2 linked regions of the Anolis sagrei genome follow. The protein of the gene in region 1 purifies or fractionates together with the protein of each later gene. This does not show direct contact. Links are inferred from orthologs where the notes say so. Each region holds a gene or a part of one and is shown on either strand. Other genes may lie near its edges.

Evidence for each region.
Region 2: the proteins of LRWD1 (region 1) and ORC5 purify together in Homo sapiens (affinity purification with mass spectrometry; 4 studies listed by BioGRID and IntAct, with this or other methods). This does not show direct contact. The link is inferred for Anolis sagrei from reciprocal best matches to the Homo sapiens genes LRWD1 and ORC5.

The regions. Positions count from the first base shown.
Region 1 is NC_090031.1:24,210,330-24,221,158, forward strand, and holds the start of LRWD1 (leucine-rich repeat and WD repeat-containing protein 1), read left to right. Parts: upstream 1-6,334; 5' UTR 6,335-6,423; intron 6,424-10,829. Other genes in the region: ALKBH4 (alpha-ketoglutarate-dependent dioxygenase alkB homolog 4), read right to left, coding at 1,772-1,969, 6,176-6,325. UniProt on the Homo sapiens protein: Required for G1/S transition. Recruits and stabilizes the origin recognition complex (ORC) onto chromatin during G1 to establish pre-replication complex (preRC) and to heterochromatic sites in post-replicated cells.
Region 2 is NC_090025.1:84,685,070-84,695,500, reverse strand, and holds the start of ORC5 (origin recognition complex subunit 5), read right to left. Parts: upstream 4,913-10,431; 5' UTR 4,825-4,912; intron 4,819-4,824; exon of another isoform or gene 4,635-4,818; intron 1,410-4,634; exon of another isoform or gene 1,326-1,409; intron 1-1,325. UniProt on the Homo sapiens protein: Component of the origin recognition complex (ORC) that binds origins of replication. DNA-binding is ATP-dependent. The specific DNA sequences that define origins of replication have not been identified yet.

The sequences.
Region 1 (10,829 bases):
GTCGTTCTGCTCCAGAAACTTTGTTTTTCTGGCCGCCACAAACTAGGTTGTATTGGTTGAGAGCCTATTATGAGTTATGTAGTGAAAAACGATATCGCAAAATGTGCTGTAAGAGGTCTCTCCCGCAAAGACAACATTTTTGCAGTTTTAATAAACTTTTCCCCATGTTTTTATGATAGAACCAATTAGGGGATAATTACATTTATAGCTCAGGAACAAAACCCATGTTATATCTATATAAATAAAAATGTAATGTTCGTTTGTGGGATTAACAGAACTCAAAAACCACTGGATGAATTGACATCAAATTTGAACACAAGACACCTAACAACCCAATGTATGTTCTTCACTCAAAAAAAATGATTTTGTCATTTGGGAATTGTAGTTTCTGGGATTTATAGTTCACCTACAATCAACCCTCCCACACAAACCCCATGTGGGCCACAGCAACGCATGGCAGGGGACGGTTAGTAGTGTAATATAATTATAATAATATAATACAATAATAATATAGTATAATAATAAATTTAATTATAAAACAATATATTATAATATTATAAATACTATAATATACTATAATAAAATATAATTATAATTATACAATTATAATGTTATTATACTAAATATAATTATAATATAATTATTGCTTTTCCTTTATTCCTTTATCCGACTTGTCGTTGATCCATACCTTTGGGCTTCACGCAAATCTACCATTTGTTAAAATATATTATCCTGTGCTATTTTTTTCCATTTCTGGCTGAATAGCTTAAATTCAGATATTTTGATATTATAATTCTAATAATATAATATAATGTGCTATAACAAGATGTCACAAAAAAACAAAGCTTTGCAGCTTAATAAACGTTTTCCCAAGTTTTTATGACAGAATCAATTAGGAAATAATGACATTTATAACCCAAATAGGGCAAGACATCCACCAGCGAATGCACATACATGTTTTCATGGATGTTACAATTTTAAAGGATGGTCCCTAGATCAGTGGTTCTCAACCTTCCTAATGCCATGACCCCTTAATATGGTTCCTTATGTTGTGGTGACCCCCAACCATCAATTTATTTTCGTTGCTACTTCACAACTATAATTTTGTTCCTGTTAGGAATCATCTTGTAAATATCCAATATGCAGGATGTATTTTCATTCGTTTGGCACAAATACTCGATACGCCCAAATTTGAATACTGGTGGGGTTGAGGGGAGGATTGATTTTGTCATTTGGGAGTTGTAGTTGCTGGGATTTATAGTTCACCTACAATATCAAAGAGCATTCTGAACTCCACCAATGATGGAATTGAACCAAACTTGGGACACAGAGCTCCCATGACCAACAACAAATTCTGGAAGAGTGTGGTGGGCATTGATCTTGAGTTTGGGAATTGAACTTCGTCTATATCCAGAGAGCACTGTAGACTCCAACAATGATGGATCTGGACCAAACTTGGCATGGATACTCCATATGCCCAAATGTGAACACTCGTGGGGTTTTGGGAAAATAGACCTTGAGATTTGGGAGTTGTACTTGCTGGGATTTATAGTTCACCTACAATCAAGGAGCGTTCTGAACCCCAATAATGATAGAATTGAGCCAAACTTCCCACACAAGAGACCCCCCATGACCAACAGAAAATACTGTGTTTTCTGATGGTCTTTGGCAACCCCTCTGACACCCCTTCGCGACCCCTCCAGGGGTCCCGACCCCCAGGTTGAGAAACACTGCCCTAGATAGTGGGAAACATTCAATGAGAAGACCAGACCTGCTTTTTTCGGCCGGACTGCGACAGCTTCCAAGGGTTTTGGTCCATAAGAGCAACCATGTGCCATTCTTCCTCTGCGGTGATGAAGTCTTCCAACAAAAACACTCCCGGAAACGGGAAGGCCCAGCCAGCAAAGTCGGAAGGCTTTTCTCCCACAGCCAAGCCAGTCGTCGGGCAGTAAACAAAGTTTACATTTTTCTATTGAGACAAGAAAAGGGGAAAGGATCACAATCGTCTTGTCATTTGCATTTGCAATTTGGATACTCAAGCTCAGAAATGGGTCATCACATTATTGTGGGGAGTGGGATGCTAACCCAGAAGGCTTCCCCATTAGGTTTAATAAATTGGGGTGGGGTGATAAATTGTCTGGGAGAGTCTACAAACATGGACTCTAAAAAACGGTAACGGTGAGTGATTTTGATTAGATCACTAAAAGAGTTTTTGAAATGGCCAAATGTCACTAATTAAATTTGGCTCTAATACTCGAGACATAGAAATTTGGCTTTTAGTCAAACAAATATATATGTAAGGACTAGGAAAAATGGGAACCCAAGAGTTGTGGAATGGAATACCTGTATGTAACTATTTTGTATTAGGCACCCACCCAAAATTTAAGAAATTTTGAATAACGGATAAGATTGGGATATTATTATTATTATTATGTGTATTTATGACTGCACGATGCAAATCCTAATTTTGGAGAGGTAATTTAGCTAAACCAGATGAGTGTTAGATTTGAGTAAATAGTTATTATTATTAATATTATTATTTGAAACACAAGATGAGTCCACAGCAGACACTCTGCTGGCTGTTGTATTGGATCACACGTCTAGGACTGTGTGATGTATCGGCGAATAATGCGTGCAGATCCCAGTAAGGTGGCCTCTTGCAGTTGGCAGACTGTAATTTTGTCAGCGCCGATTGTGTTTAAGTGCAGGCCAAGGTCTTTAGGCACTGCACTCAGTGTGCCGATCACCACTTCTTCTTCTTCTTCTTCTTATTATTATTATTATTATTTATACCCGCCTGTTTCTCTCCGGAAGGATACTCAAAGTAGCTATGCATCTATTATTAGTAGTAGAATTTATTATTATTATTATTATTATTATTATTATTATTATTATTAGCTATCCCCTGCCACGTGTTACTGTGGCACAGTCTGTGTATATGTGTTTTGTGTGTGTATATATGTGTGTGTATATATATTTGTGTATATGTTTGTTTGCATATATATATATGTCTGGTTTTGCGCATGTGTTGTAATGTAATTTTTTTTGGCTTTTGAAATCACTTCCACTATGTTTTTCAGTGTTTTTATGAGTGATGATCACTCATTGGCCTGACAGTTGTATTGTGTCCAAAATTGGTGTCAATTCGTCCAGTGGCTTTTGACTTGTTAATCCCACAAACCATAAATTATATTATAGATGGTATATTATCTTATATAATTGTCTTAATTTGCTTTTAATTCCACTATCTCAGTATCAAGTCAATGCATACTTAATAGGAGCTTATCTCTTGCTGAACCCTTAATAACCATTAAGGCTATTAACAACTACAGTAGCAAAGGAGCAGAATTCCACTCTTAAATGATCAAAAAGCCATTTGGCAATGGCAGGAATCGTGGCTGGGATAAGTCAGGTCACGGTTTTGTTACAAAAACAGCTTTGTAAATGCAATATTATTTCTTTAACTTTTTTTTTCCTCCAGTTGCTTGAGAGTTTTGAATAACTGAAAGTCTCCTGGAAAAGCTTCCATAGACTAAAATCTCTCTCATTCCACAACAAGGATGGACTTTGAATGTTTCTATGAAATGTAATTATGATGTTTAAAATACCGTTGATATTTAATTCTGTTTTAATGTTTGTATATATTTGTAGATGTAGTCATGCCGGCCACATGACCTTGCAGGTGTCTACGGACAACGCTGGCTCTTTGGCTTAGAAGTGGAGATGAGCACCAGAGTCCCAGAGCCAGACATGACTGGACTTATTTATTTATTTGTCGTGTCAGAGCAACCAGTCTATTATATATTACATTTCTAACAGAACAAAGCAAACAGACAGAAAAATACACAACTTGTGAGTTTGGTAGTTGGTTAAATGTCCTTTGACCAGTATCTAGCCACTTGGAGTGCTTCCGGTGTTGCTGCAAGAAGGTCCTCCATTGTGCATGTGTCAGGGCTCAGGTTGCATTGCAGCAGGTGGTCAGTGATTTGCTCTTCTCTGCACTCGCATGTCGAGGATTCCACTTTGTAGCCCCATTCCTGAAGGTTGGGTCTGCATCTCGTGGTGCCAGAGCACAGTCTGTTCAGCGCCTTCCAAGTCACCCACTTTTCTGTGTGCCCAGGGGGGAGTCTCTCATTTGGTATCAGCCATGGTTTGAGCCTGCCACTTTTGGACTCTCACTTGCTGAGGTGTTCCAGCGAGTGTCTCTGTAGATCTTAGAAAACTATGTCTAGATTTAAGTCGTTGGCATGCTGGCTGATACCCAAACAGGGGATGAGCTGGAGATGTCTCTGCCTTGGTCCTTTCACTATTGGCTGCTACTTCCCAGTGGATGTCAGGTGGTGCAATACCGGCTAAGCAGTGTAATTTCTCCAGTGGTGTGGGGCACAGACACCCCGTGATTATGCGGCATGTCTCATTAAGAGCCACATCCACTGTTTTAGCATGGTGAGATGTGTTCCACATTGGGCATGCATACTCAGCAGCACAGTAGCACAGCACAAGGGCAGATGTCTTCACTGTATCTGGTTGTGATCCCCAGGTTGTGCCAGTCAGCTTTTGTATGATATTGTTTCTAGCATCCACTTTTTGCTTGATGTTCAGGCAATGCTTCTTGTAGGTCAGAGCACGGTCCAGAGTGACTCCCAGGTACTTGGGTGCGCTGCAATGCTCCAGTGGGATTCCTTCCCAGGTAATCCTCAGAGCTCGGGATGCTTGTCTGTTCTTAAGATGAAAGGCACATGTCTGTGTTTTAGATGGGTTGGGGATCCGCTGGTTTCCCCTGTAATAGGCAGTGAGAGCACCTAGAGCTTCGGAGAGCTTCTGTTCCACCGTCTCAAAGCTCCCTGCTTGAGCAGTAATGGCACGATCATCAGCATAGATGAAACTCTCTGTCCCTTCTGGCAGTGGCTGGTCATTTGTGTAGATGTTGAACATGGATGGAGCGAGCACGCTCCCCTGAGGCAGGCCGTTCTTCTGTTTCCGCCATCTGCTTCTCTAGCCCTGGAACTCAACAAAAAAGCTCCTGTTTTGTAGCACGTTTCCTATGAGGTGGGTGAGGTGGTCGTCCTTTGTGATATTATACATTTTTCTAAGGAGGAGGCGGTGGTTCACAGTATCATAGGCTGCTCACAGGTCTATTATGCAACCAGCATAATAATAATAATAATAGTAATAATAATAATAATAAACTCTATTTATACCCCGCCACCATCTCCCCAAGGGGACTCAGGGCAGCTTACATGAGTCCAAGCCCGACAATACAATACATCAGTATAAACCAACACAGCAATAAAACAAAACAAAACAAAAAATACAGGGTTGTTGTAGGGTTTTTTCGGGCTATATGGCCATGTTCTAGCGGCATTCTCTCCTGACGTTTTGCCTGCATCTATGGCAAGAATCCTCAGAGGTAGTGAGGTCCTTCTGGCTGATGTTGATATGGAGGTGCAGCAGTTCCTTGTCTGTGTTTGCGAGTTCTTTGCGGATGGTGTGAATTCTCTCTCGTAAGAGGTTGCGTTCAGAGGTAGTGAGGATGCTTGCCATAGATGCAGGCGAAACGTCAGGAGAGAATGCCTCTGTCTAGAACATGGCCATATAGCCTGAAAAAAACCTACAACAACCCAGCGATTCAGGCCATGAAAGCCTTCGACAATACAATAAAAAACCATAATAAATAACATAGCAGCAATAAAACACAACATTTAAACAACACAAGGATATATTAATATTATATATATTATATTTGATATATACACACATGCTGTATTTAAATAATAATTGTATTTTATTATATATTATTATTATATGACTATTTATATTATTATCCATTATATACTATAGATTCACACACATGCTATATTATATTGATATTATTATATATAATTATTATTAGTATTAATGTATGTATGTATCAGGCCTGGGCCAACTTCGGCCCTCAGGGGGGTTTGGACTTCAAGTCCCACAATTCCTAACAGCCTAGCGGCTGTTAGGAATTGTGGGACTTGAAGTCCAAACCCTCCTGAGGGCCGAAGTTGGCCCAGGCCTGACAGACGTGCCACGTAAGGGAGGAGAAGGGAGGCGAAGGCGCTCTGCACACGCTCAGGGGCCGGGAAGGGGCGTGCCTCGCCGAGGAAGCCTTCCCCTTTCCCCGCCCCTTCCCCTCCTTCCTTCCTACCGGAGGCGGCGCCGGCGTGGTGGGGCGGCGGGCCTGGCAGGCCAGGCAAGAGCGGGGTCTGGTGCAGGCGCAGGCCTCCCGCGGCCTAGCTGCTTCTCCCCCGCCTCCGTCTCCGCGGCCCCCGCCGCTCCAGTCGGCATCCGGCTCCATCCTCTTCCCCGCCGGACCCCCGGAGGCCCCAGCCGCGGCCAGGAGAAGAACCGAGGGCGGGCGGCAAGCGGGAGCAAGAGCGGGGCGCTTCTCCTGAGGTAAAAAACTACGCGAGGCCCGGCGCGGAGAGAGGAGCAGGCCGCTCCCACCGGCGGAGAGAACGAGAGGGAGGGAGGACGTTGAAAAGGGCGGGAAAGGCTTCCCCAGGCCTCGCGAGGGAGGGAAGGAGGGGGAGGGAACTCGCTTTCCCAGAAGCGCCTTGCGCGGCCCCGGCATTGAAGGAGCCTTTGCGCTCCCTCCCGGGGCATGATGGGAGTTGAAGTTTCGGCGCCAAACTCTGGAGGATGCTGAGGAGGATGCTCCTTTTGGGAGAAGGAAGGGGCATTTTTTGTTTCCCTGGCGACATCTTGGGACCCGTTTCTCTCTCTCTCTCTATCATCTAAATATAGAGTATTCATCAGTCTGTTTATACATATGAGAATATATACTATATATTAATATTATACATAGTATATTATATATATACACACATGCTGTATTTAAATAGTAATTGTATTTTTATATATCATATATTATAGGATATATTATATATTGTATACGCTATAAATATACATATTATATATTGTATACACTATATATTATATATTATTATATATTGTGTACACTATATATATTAATATTATACATATTATATATTATATACAATATATATATTAATATTACACGTATTATATTTTACATACACATACACTATAGTTAAATAATAATAATAATTGTATATTATGTATTGTTTACACTATATATATTAATATTATACATTTTATATTTTATATATGCACACATGCTATATTTAAATAGTAATTGTATTTTTATATATTATATATTATTATACCATTATATTATATATTGTATACACTATATATTAATATTATATATATTATATAATATAAAATATAATATAAAATATTACACATATTATATATACACACATGCTATATTTAAATAGTAATTGTATTTTTATATATTATATATGATTATATGATATATTGTATACACTATATATTAATATTATACATATTATATTTTATATATACACACATGCTATATTTAAATAATATTTGTATTTTATTATATATACTTTATATTATATATTGTGTACACTATATCTTAGTATTATACATTTTATATTTTATATATACACATATGCTATATTTAAATAGTAATTGTATTTTCATATTATATATTATTATAGGATATATTATATATTGTATACGCTATATATTAATATTATATATATTATATATTATTGTATATTGTGTACACTATATATAAATATTATACATATTATATTTTATATATACACACATGCTATATTTAAATAATAATAATATTTTATTTTATATATTATATGATTATTTATATTATTATGTATTATATACACTATATATATTAATATTATACGTATTATATTTTACATACACATACACTATAGTTAATAATAATTGTATATTATTATATATTGTTTACACTATATATAATAATATTATATATTATATTTTACATACACATACGCTATATTTAAATAATAATTGTATTTTATTATATATATTATATCAGTGGTTCTCAACCTGGGGTCTCCAGATGTTTTTGGCCTACAACTCCCAGAAATCCCAGCCAGTTTACCAGCTGTTGGGATTTCTGGGAGTTGAAGGCCAAAAACATCTGGGGACCCTAGGTTGAGAACCACTGTATTATATGATTATATTATATGCACTATATAAATATTATACATATTATATTTTATATACACACACATGCTATACTTAAATAGTAATTGTAATTTTATATATTATAGGATTATATTATATATTGTATACACTACATATTAATATTGTACATATTATATTTTATATACACACATGCTATATTTAAATAATAATTATATTTTATTACATATTATATATATATGATTATTTATATTATATATTATATACACTATATATATTAATATTACACATTTTATATTTTATTTATACACATGCTATATTTAAATAATTATATTTTATTATATATATTATATGATTATTTACATTATTATGTATTATATACACTATATATATTAATACTATACGTATTATATTTTACATACACATACACTATAGTTAAATAATAATAATTGTATATTATTATATATTGTTTACACTATTAATATCTATTAATATTATACATATTATATTTTATATACACATACACTATATTTAAATAATATTTGTATTTTATTATCTATATTATATATTATTATATATTATATACACTATATATTAATATTATACACATTATATTTTATATACACACATGCTATATTTAAATAGTAATTGTATTTTTATAGTAATTGTATTTTTATATATTATTATAGGATTATATTATATATTGTATATACTATATATACACATGCTATATTTAAATAATAATTGTATTTTATTATATATATTATATATTATTATATATTTTATACACTATATATATTAATATTATACATATTATACCTTATATACACATACGCTATATTTAAATAATAATTGTATTTTATTATATATTATATTATATATTATTATATGATTATATATTGTATACACTATATATATAAATTGTATTTCATTATATTTTATTTATTTATATTTCAAATTTATATGCCGCCACTCCCCTAGGGCTCGGAGTGGCTTACAAGAACAAACTAAAATCTAACACAAAGTAAACAACATATCAAAGATCAAAGGCCTGTCGAAACAAATATGTCTTGCAAGCCCTGCTATACTCACATGCTATATTTAAATAATAATAATTGTATTTCATTTTATTATTATATGATTATTTATATTATTATATATAACTATATTTTATACATATTCTATATATTCACATGCTATGTTATATTTGTATAACAATAATAATAGTATTTTAATAGTATTTTATTATATATTATTAATATTAATGTATGTCCTGGGCCATTATATATGCACACATACATACATATATGTGTGTGTTAGTGTATGCATATGTAGATAGATCATATATATATATAATCTATATGTTTATATATCATCTAGATATGTACTATAGATCATATATATACACACAAAAATCTTATCCTTGTATTGAGCATATAGTTGTTATTATGGTTCTCTTTGAGACAAATGGAGTAAATTTATTTATTTTGAGTACTTTTTGAAAAATCATTTCACGCAACTGGAGTTTGAAAAGAGATTTTCATAAAAATAAACCCATTGGGAAACTTGGTGGCAAAGGCTGGCCTCGCCAAAGAGTTATAATTCATTTATTTTAGCTTCGTAATTCGATCTCACCTTGCTTTTCTGTGATTGGAAAGAAAACTGATACAAGATGGAAATCTGCCAGAACAGGTCTGAGTAAAAAGATTCATTTACATATTTTTATATTCCACCCTATCTCCGCAAGGGGACTCAGGGCGGATCACAGTACACATACACAGCAAACATTAAATTCCGTTTGGGATTTCTGATCTTTTTCTTTATGGTGTTGTCAAATACCTCCCCTTCTTGTTTTAGCGCTACCTAATTTCTCTACTTACAGCTCAAGCTGTTTTTGAACTGCTTAGGTAAACAGTAACCTGGGCTGACAGTTGGGAGCTCATGCCGACTCAGGGCTTTGAACTGGCAACCTTTCAGTTGGTAGATCTTATTATTGCTGGTGATTTACCAACTCTGCTAAAGCCCATCCTGAATCCAAAACAGACTTGTCACTGAAGTAGATGTTGATTTGGACTTCCAACAGGAAAGTTTGGTTGTTGAGGAAAAGAAATAAATGTCCGTTCTCACCTCGCTAAAAAAGAAGAGTGTCTCCTTTGAACTGTGATCTCTCTTGTTAGAACGAGAGTCTATTCTTTCTCTATTGGTTTGTAAGCTGCCTGTTTCGGATTATTTATTACACCCAAGTGATTGAACTGCAGCTACAAACTTTGTTTTTCGAAATTGTGGTTTCATCTTCAAATTGGCGGGGATGAGAGACAGGGCCTTCAATGTGTTTTGATCCCATCATGATTTTATTTCTTTCGGATCCTGAGGTGTCTTGTAGCAACCCTGCCATTTGTTTCACATTTCCCTTTTGATTTCTTGAAAGCTTGCAGAATAGATCTCTTATATCTCTGCCTGGGTTTATTGTCATTGTTCTCTTGGTTTCCTCTCATTTGTTCTTTGCTGTTTGGCTGAAACTCACCTTGCATTTGGCTGCCTTTTTTGCATTCCTCCTTGTGTTGTTTCAAGGGTTTCTCTGGCTCCCAGTTGTCCAGACGCGAATGGATTTTTCATAGGAATGTTAAATTCTATAAAGAATTTATGTTTTGTCATGATATTGATTTTAGAGTTCCTTAATTGCAGACAGTAGTAGTAATAATAGTTTAGGATCTTGCGTCACAATCGGCTCCTGGTCTTGTTTTTGTAGAGAGAAGTGGTAGCCGAAGACTCTCTGC
Region 2 (10,431 bases), on another chromosome or scaffold:
GGGAAGACAAGAAGAACTGTCATAATCTTAAAAATCGCTAAGCTTTATTTCCCATTTGATAAAGAGGTAAATTGGTAGGCCTTCCATATTACAAGATTACTGTTACCTTAAAATAAATGCCAGTGAATTCAGTAACAAAGGACCCATCTATACTGCTATACAATCTAGTTTCTGAATCCAAACTGTGTGCTTTGAACTGGATTATATGGCAGTGTAGACTCATAATCCAGTTCAAAGCAGATAATCTGGTTTCAGAAACAGGATTATATGGCAGCGTAAATACAGCCTATGTTAACTGAACATACTATTACAATCAATGTTTCAAGTGAAATTTTACTACTAGGTAAATTCAGACACCTAGGGTCCGAAAACATGGGTAGGCAACTTCCTGTGGATAGAAGGCCATGCTTCCAAACCTGGTTTTGCCTCTGCAGCTAGTGCTGAAATTTGTGAGTGACAGGCCCGTAGCCAGGATTTTGATTGGGGGGGGGGGGGGCTGAGTCTGAGCAAAAGAGGGTCTACCCTCGCAAACCTTTTGTATTGTTACCCCAATACCCCCATGCATATGGGATATATTGAGTATGGTGATCAGATCATGATATGAATAAACATAACAGTTTAAATACTATACCAGTAAGGCCTTCTCGCGGACCACCAGTCACTCACTGGTGAGTGACTATTAAATTTGCTATTAGCATTGCAATGGCGGCTGCAGCTGTCATCTATAAGACAGGACTGTCTACATCTCATAAGCCATTTTTTGCCTATCCATGTGTTAGGGTGATTCTATACTGTAAAATTAATGGTGTCAAACAGCATTAATTTTACACTGTCGATGCACCATTGGTGCCACAAGGCAATAGACACTTGCAGACTCTTTGAGCCAATTTTTGTGTCAAACCCATTCAGAAAAACACAGAAGAATTACAAACAGCAAACTATTTCATTTGGAGAAACATAGACATTAATTAATTTATTATTTATTTATTTATTTAAAGCATTTATATTCCATCCTTCTCACTCAGAATGGGACTCAGGGCGGATAACAACATATACTGCAAACATTCAATGCTGGTACATACAATAAACTATAGATATAAACACTAAAATCAGTTATCTCCACTTTAAAATCAATTAAATTTAAAATCAAATGAAGTCCACAGATTAGTATTAAAGGTGCTGTCACATATTTCCTCCCCCTTCTTAGTTCTTTTTTTATGCTGTGAGAGACAAGCACACTTACTTCTTTGAAAACTACAATAAAAGTCAGTGAGCAATTGTAGACAAGGCTTTTACAACACCATTGCCTTGCCTCATTCACCTACTTTTATGAGGCCTTTAAGTGCATTCATGTTCTTCACTAGTAATCCTCCCTTATTCTTCCACTGCTTCTTGCATGCTTTTCCTTACTACAGAAAAAACATTCAAGAGAAAGACAGAATATCTGCACAGTACATCCTGTCTAGAAATTATCCAGGATTGTGGGGATTAGCTATGCACTCAACACCCTCCATATCAGGTATTCGGTATCCACAATTCAACCATTCATGGCTTGCTAATATTCCAAAAATGAAAAAATCCACCAAAAGAAACTTGATTTTACTATTTTATACAATATGCCACATGGACCCTGATCATCAATGAATTTTGGTATCTATAAGGGTTAAAATAGATACTGTATCTATATTAACCAAAACAGAAAGCTTTCCATGGAAAAATATACACAAATCTACAGTTTTCTGGACTGATGTACTGGAACCAATTATTTAGTATGGTGGGTCCCAACTTTTTGTCCTCCAGGTCCAGCTCCCACTATTCCTAACAGCTGGGAAGCTGGCTCGAACTTCTGAGAGTTGGAGCCCAAAACCACTGAGGACCAAAGTTTGGGAACCACTGTTTTAGTGAACCATAATGTTCAATTAGTTGTACTGAATCAGATTTTTCTCAACTTAAAAAAGAATGGATAAGTTGTACTGAAAGTGAGTGAGTGAGTGAAGCTAAAGTTATACTTCAACAAACACACTGTTGATACAAGACATATCAGGTACATTTCCCTTTTGATATCTGCCTTTAAAAATCACATTCTTGCAAGTATGATCAATTTTAGGTTAGAAATAATAATAATAATAATAATAATAATAATAATGCTTTATTTATATCCCTTTTCCCAAGGGGACTCGGGGCAGCTTACAACAAGAGGAAACAATGTACATAATATCAGTCACACTTACAATCTAAAAAATGGTTAAAGCAAAACAAATATATTAAAAAAGACAAATTACAAAAGTTCAACAGCTCAGCGGTTTAACGCACTGTGCCACCAGGGGTTCCCATAATAATAATAATAATAATAAACTTTGTATTGTCGAAGGCTTTCATGGCTGGGATCACTGGGTTGTTCTAGGTTTTTTCAGGCTATTTGACCATGTTCTAGAGGCATTCTCTCCTGACGTTTTGCCTGCATCTATGGCTGAGGATGCTGACCATATATGTAGGTGAAACCTCAGGAGAGACTGTCCTTAGAACAAGGGTCCTGAAACTAAGGCCCGGGGGCCAGATGTGGCCCTCCAAGGTCATTTACCCGGCCCTCGTTCAGAGTCAACCTACGTCTGAAATAACTTGAAAGCACACAACAATAACAAAAATCCTCTCATCAGCCAAAAGTAGGCCCACACTTCCCACTGAAATACTAATAATTTTATTTTTGTTGAAATTGTTCTTCATTTTAATTATTGTATTGTTCTACCCTGACATTTAAAATCCAGGTTATCTGCTCTGAACTGGATTATATGGTAGGGACATCTGTAGGGATACCAAGGTGCTTGTTTATAGAGCTATTGTCCTCCCAACCCTGCTATACGCCTACGAAATGTGGACTGTCTACAGACGTCACATGCAACTCCTGGAACAATTCCATCAGTGCTGTCTCTGAAAAATCATGCAAATCTCTGGGGAAGACAAGCAGACAAACGTCAGTGTGCTGGAAGAAGCAAAGAGCACCAGCATTGAAGCGATGGTCCTCCGCCATCAACTCCGCACCACCTGACATCTGCTGGGAAGTAGCAGCCAATAGTGAAAGGACCAGGGCAGCGACATCTCCAGCTCACCCCTTGTTTGGGTATCAGCCAGCATGTCAACGACTCAAATCAAGAAATAGTTTCCTAAGATCTACAGAGACACTTGCTGGAACACCTCAGCAAGCGAAAGTCCAAAAATGGCAGGCTCAAACCCAGCACCTCAATCCGTGGGTGACACCAGATGAGAGACTCCCTCCTGGGCACACAGAAGACTGGGTGACGTGGAAGGCACTGAACAGACTGCGCTCTGGCACCACGAGATGCAGAGCCAATCTTAAGAAATGGGGCTACAAAGTGGAATCCATGACATGCGAGTGCGGAGAAGAGCAAACCACTGATCACCTGCTGCAATGCAACCTGAGCCCTGCCACATGCACAATGGAGGACCTTCTTGCTGCAACACCAGAGGCACTCCAAGAAGCTAAATACTGGTCAAAGGACATTTAATCAACTACCAAGTTGCAAAATTTGTGCTTTTTCTATCTGTTTGTTTGTTTTGTTCTGTTAGAAATGTAATACAATGGTATGGTTGCTGATGACACAATAAATAAATAAATAAATCAACTCTGATGGACCAGCCACATTGTTCGGATGCCTGACCACCGTATCCCAAAGCAGTTGCTCTACTCCGAACTCAAGAACGGAAAACGGAATGTTGGAGGACAAGAAAAGAGATTTAAAGATGGGTTCAAAGCCAACCTTAAAAACTCCGACATAGACACTGAGAACTGGGAAGCCCTGGCCCTTGAGCGCTCCAGCTAGAGGTAAGCTGTGACCAGCAGTGCTGCAGAATTTGAAGAGGCAAAAATGGAGGGTGAAAGAGAGAAATGTGCCAAGAGGAAGGCGCATCAAGCCAACCCTGACCGAGACCGCCTTCCACTGGGAAACCAATGCCCTCACTGCAGGAGAAGATGCAGGTCAAGAATAGGGCTCCACAGTCACAGACGGATCCACAAGAATACTGATCATAGAAGACTATCCTACTCGGCCAATGAGGGATCGTGGATCCCCCGGTGGCGCAGTGGGTTAAACCCCTGTGCCGGCAGGACTGAAGACCGACAGGTCGCAGGTTTGAATCCGGGGAGAGGTGGATGAGTTCTCTCTATCAGCTCCAGCTCCTCATGCAGGGACATGAGAGAAGCCTCCCACAAGGGTGATAAAAACATCATATCATCCGGGCATCCCCTGGGCAACATCCTTGCAGACGGCCAATTCTCTCATACCAGAAGCGACTTGCAGTTTCTCAAGTCGCTCCTGACACGATTAAAAAAGATGAGGGATTGCCTAAGTAAGTAAGTAAAGTAAGTAATGGCAGTGTAGATTTATATAATCCAGTTCAAAACAGAAAATCTGGATTTTATATGGCAGTATAGAAGGAGCCTGGTCGTTTCACATGCTCCCAATTAAAATGTACATCAAAATAGCATTTTCCCTTTCTCCAATGAGATTTTGTGTTGTTTATTGTGATTTAAAAAAAACAGTAAAGCAAAAATAACAAAGCAGTCATTCTGAACAGTCTGTCAATCAAGTACTCAAAACAACTTTCTTCAAGTTTACCTCAGGAGATGGCAGTCTTTGTGGGAAACAGAGCAGCACCTCACTGGGAAGCTGGCGCCTGAAGAGCCTCGCTGAGAAGTTGTAGTTGTCGAAATAATGATAATAATACTAATACCTGAGAGGAGAAATTAACCTTCAGCCTCCTCACAATTCCACCCCAGCCCCAAATTCAAGCCCATCACCTGTTTACCTTTTGCCAGGCTCTCGTTGCCAACGAGGGGATGGAAAAGGAGGCGTGGCGAGGCAGGAGCGCGAGCGGCGGCAGCGGCGCACGTGACGGGGATGACGCCACTGATTGGCCACCTGCGACGTCACTCTGTCGGCATCTACCAACGGCGTGCGAGAGGAGGCGGGAGCTGGAAATCCGCGCGCTCTGTTTCCTCCTAGTGAGGGAGAGGAAGTGATAGGCCGCCTCCGTGAGTGACGTCATCCAATGAGAATGAATGAATGCAATCTGGCCCCAGTGTATGCCCTGGAATCGAGGGAGTTGTAGTTAAAAGTAGCCTCCAAGTGCATGAGTTCAGCCCAAAGACTCTGTGACCTCTCCCTGGTATTGTCTTGTAGCCCCCCTGAGCATTGACTGCATTCAGAGGCGGCCCTAGGTAATTTTCAACGGGAAGCAAACAGTATTTTGGGATGTTGTAGGTTTTTTCGGGCTGTATGGCCATGGTCTAGAGGCATTCTCTCCTGACGTTTCGCCTGCATCTATGGCAAACATCCTCAGAGGTAGTGAGGATCCTCACTACCTCTCACTACCTCTGAGGATGCTTGCCATAGATGCAGGTGGAACGTCAGGAGAGAATGCCTCTAGACCAGTGGTTCTCAACCTTCTTAAGGCTGCGACCCCTTAATACAGTTCCTCATGTTGTGGTGACCCCCAACCCTAAAATTATTTTCGTTGCTCCTTCATAACTGGAATTTTGCTGCTGTTATGAATCAACATGTAAACATCTGATAGGCAGGATGTATTTTCATTCTCTAGACCTTGGGAGTCGTAGTTGCTGGGATTTATATTTCACCTACAATCAAAGAGCATTCTGAATTTCATTAGAGATGGAATTGACCCAAACTTGGCACACACCATGCAAAAAATAATGAAAGGGGTAGGCGAGCATTGGCCTTGAGCTTGGGAGTTGTAGTTCACCTATCTCCAGAAAGCACTGTGGACTCAAACAATGATAGATCTAGACTAAGCTTGGCACGAATACTCAATATGCCCAAATGTGAACACTGGTGGAGTTTGGGGAAAATAGACCTTGACATTTGGAAGTTGTAGTTGCTGGGATTTATAGTTCACCAACAATCAGAGAGCATTCTGAACCCCACCAACGATAGAATGGGCCAGATTTCCCACACAGAACTCCCATGATACCGCCCGAAAATAACTACAACAACCCAGTGATTCCGGCCATGAAAGCCTTCGACAATACATTAAACAGTATTTCCCCCCCCCCCCCCACCACCACCACCACCTATCACTGATATATATTTTCTGTTCGTCGTGGGAGTTCTGTGTGCCATATTTGGTTTAATTCCATCATTGGTGGAGTTCAAAATGCTCTTTGATTGTAGGTGAACTATACATCCCAGTAACTACAACTCACATATGTCAAGGTCTATTTTCCCCCAAGAGCGCCTCATGAGCGCCCCTGAGCAAAATCAACTATACTTCAAATGCTTACTTTGCGTAATGGGTTGAGCCACCCCTGACGATGATGGAAACTGCACTTCTTCAAAAACTTGAGAGTGCCCTAAATTGCTGCATCCTTGGTTTAAAATGAAGAGGAGATAAATGTGTGGATCCTTGGTATCTGCTGGGGTTTTGATCTAGGACCACATCTTTGGAAAGACAGAGACCAAAATCCTTGGAAGTTTGTTATTCATTCGTTCAGTCGTTTTTCGACTCTTTGTGACCTCATGGACCAGCCCACGCCAGAGCTCCCTGTCAGCCGTCACCACCCCCAGCTCCTTCAAGGTCAATCCAGTCATTTCAAGGATACCATCCATCCATCTTGCCCTTGGTCGGCCCCTCTTCCTTTTCCCCTCCATTTTCCCCAGCATCTTTGTCTTCTCTAAGCTTTCCTTTCTTCTCATGATGTGGCCAAAGTACTTCATCTGGGGACAAGTCTACATAGGGACCACCAAACACAGCATTGCCAAAACATGAATCAAGGAACATGAAAGGCACTGCAGACTACTTCAACCAGAGAAGTCAGCCATAGCAGAGCACCTGATGAACCAGCCTGGACACAGCATATTATTTGAGAACACAGAAATGCTGGACCACTCCAACAACCACCATGTCAGACTACACAGAGAAGCCATTGAAATCCACAAGCATGTGGACAATTTCAACAGAAAGGAAGAGACCATGGAAATGAACAAAATCTGGCTACCAGTATTAAAAAACTCTAAAATTACAACAGCAAAACAGCAGAGAGGAAACAACCAGGCACATCTTAACACCTCTCAACAGGGGATTTTCCCAGGCTCAGCCAGACCTTCAGATGCTAATGAAGGTGGTCAGTTGAAACATTCACACCTAGCTCCAGCAGAGAAGAGCTCTTTGCCCCACCCCAGCCATTCAACAGATATATAAACCCATTGTCCTAATTCCAACAGACCTCACTACCTCTGAGGATGCTTGCCATAGATGCAGGCGAAACGTCAGAAGAAATGCTCTAGAACATGGCCCTATAGCCCGAAAAAATCCACAAGAACCTAGTACTTCATCTTGGCCTCTACTATCCTTCCCTCCAATGAGCAGTCGGGTCCCCAGGTGTTTTGGCCTACAACTCCCAGAAATCCCAGCCAGTTTACCAGCTGGTAGGATTTCTGGGAATTGAAGGCCAAAACATCTGGGGACCCACAGGTTGAGAACCACTGCCCTAGAGTCAGACATGGCTAGACTTAATGTCAGGAGAAACCTTTACCTTTATATTATTTTACATGAAACTTGCAATTCTAATTTATTGTTGCAACAAAGACTAAGATCACCTGCTGCAAATAACATTTACAGAAATCTAGGAAATGCTCCTTTTAATATGGAAGGCTCTAACAAAATAATAATGGGTTGTTATAGGTTTTTTCGGGCTATATGGCCATGGTCTAGAGGCATTCTCTCCTGACGTTTCACCTGCATCTATGGCAAGCATCCTCAGAGGTAGTGAGGTCCTCACACCTAGCTCCAGCAGACAAGAGTCCTTTGTCCCACCCTGGTCATTCCACAGATATACATTTTCCTAGTTCCAACAGACCTCACTACCTCTGAGGATACTTGCCATAGATGCAGGCAAAACGTCAGGAGAGAATGCCTCTGGAACATGGCCATATATCCTGAAAAAAAACCCTACATCAACCCTGTGATGCCGGCCATGAAAGCCTTCGACAATACATTAAAATAATTATGCAAGTATATGTTTACATGTATGTAGGCAAACTCCCTGCAACAATTTTGTGGTTCGGTGTCAGACTGTTTTTCATGTACATATCAATCTGGTATATTGCTGCAAGTTTATACTAAGAGCATAAAAGACAGCTGAACTGCTGTACTTCATCCTGTGACAAACAAAACCTTTGAAATGCAGAACAGTCTTTGTTGCAATAGCAAAGAAGGGCTTGATATGGGCTTCACTTCCCAATTTATAAAACTGTTTTTTTAAAAAAGCTGAATTTTACCCTAGACTAATAAACTGCTTACTGAGATTAATAGAAAAAGCCTATCTGTTACTCAGCTTGATCTTTTTCCACAACCTATTTTCTATGAGTATGCAGCTGTGTCAGTCTTAGGCCTACATGTCAGCAAAAAATATATGTGCCATATTAACAAAAGAAGAGATTTTGGGAAGGAAGATGTGATTAAAAAACTCAAAAATTACAACAGCAAAACAACAGAGAGTAAACAATCAGGCACATCAAATCACCTCTCAAAGACAGATTCCCCCAGGGACTTCCAAGCCATTAAATGCTAATCAACGTAGTCAGTTGAAACATTCACACCTAGCTCCAGCAGACAAAAGTCCTTTGTCCCACCCTGGTATTTCCACAGGTATATTAACCCATTTTTCCTACTTCCAACAGACCTCACTACCTCTGAGGATGCTTGCCATAGATGCAGGCAAAATGTCAGGAGAAAATGCCTCTAGAACATGGCCATATAGCCCGGAAAACCTACAACAACCCAAGATGTGATTTTTCCGGGCCTTCTACGTAAATCCCCAGAAAAGTACTGATGAATGATTTATAAATGACTATTATTGTCACAACTCAGGATAGATTCACCTTGCTCAGAACATCACCACACACCAAGGCTGTAGGTTTTGTAGTTTACTGAAGAAAAAGCAAAATCATATACATAGAAAAAAGGTTGCAAAAGTTCAATAGCCAAACAGAGTCTTAAATGCAAAGGCAGAGTTTCCAAGGTCCAAAGGCAAATAACATGAAGTATAATCCACAAGCACTGGTCAAACAAGAATCTATGGCAGCATGACAGAGTCCCCAGAAACCAAGTTCAAAACTAAAGTCCCAAAGAGCCAAAAGCTCTCCCCAAAAACCGAGGCAATTCCAGAGAAGTTAACAGGGTGTAAGCAAAGTTGCACTGACAAAGGGTTGACTTCAATCAGATCTTTAAATATCCTTCCCTAGCATGAAAGCATTACGTTGACCTTGACCCTCCCATTTGTTAGCAAGCTGAGCACTTTGGCGAACCCTTAATTGCAAACGGTCCTCCCTAACCAAATCCCCATCACCTTCAAGGCCGAATAACTCATTATCCTGGGACTGGCCAGCCTGGGAATCGACAGGCACTGAGCTCACAGATGGAGGGGTCGACTCCTCCACCTGCAGCTATGAAGATTCACTCAAATCATGACCATCTTCTAAAACAACATTCCTTTCCCTGGGAAACTGAAACGCCGCCTCGTCTTCAATATCAACACTGTCTGCATTAACAACAGGGACATGTTCAGAAATCTGCAATCCATCATCCTCCTCGTCCTGAGGAAATTCAGGCTCAGAAAGCTCAGGCTCAGACTGAGCCACAACAATTATTACAAAACTCCCTTTACTTCATTGATATAACTGATCGATGTGAAATATATCAATTAACTTAAATATTGAGCTTGCTTAAAGTAGCACCCTCTATTTTTACCAAGTCTAAGAGACAAACTGAAAAACTGGTTGTGCAGGAAAATCCCCTCAGGTCAGACAGGAAACACAAAAAGGTCTTTCCTTAAGATACAATTAAAAATTAGACCTCAGTGGTCCTATTATCTGCTTCCTCAGACAAATCTCCCTCTTTTCTCCTGTTCTCTGTTAAGAAAACTATGCACAACTGTATTGAAATAACTATTTTTCAAATCTGCCACAGATGAAGAACCCTTGCACATATCTTTTCTTTATTGATGAACAATCAGGGGAGAGGACACACATATACGTATATTCGCAAGAACTGAGCACCTAAAAAAAAATTGAACTATATAAAATGTGCTTGGGAAACTGTTGGTGGGTTGAACATTCAAGAAGCCAGCTCAATATCCAGCTGAGATATCCAAACCCCGCAGGAAAGCAAGGCCTCTTTAGAGATGTAATCAAGGTATTTACATAAATGTTGTCTTTTGTTTCTGGGTCTGACACCTATTATAACAGTCTGGTTTTAGGCCGGGACATGGAACCAAGACAGCCTGGTCACCTTAGTTGATGATCTACACCAGGAGTGTTGCATCTCAGAGTAGATTCACCTTGCTGAAAAACACCAAACTGCAGACAGCCAAAAGTCTTTATAGTTTATTAGAAAATA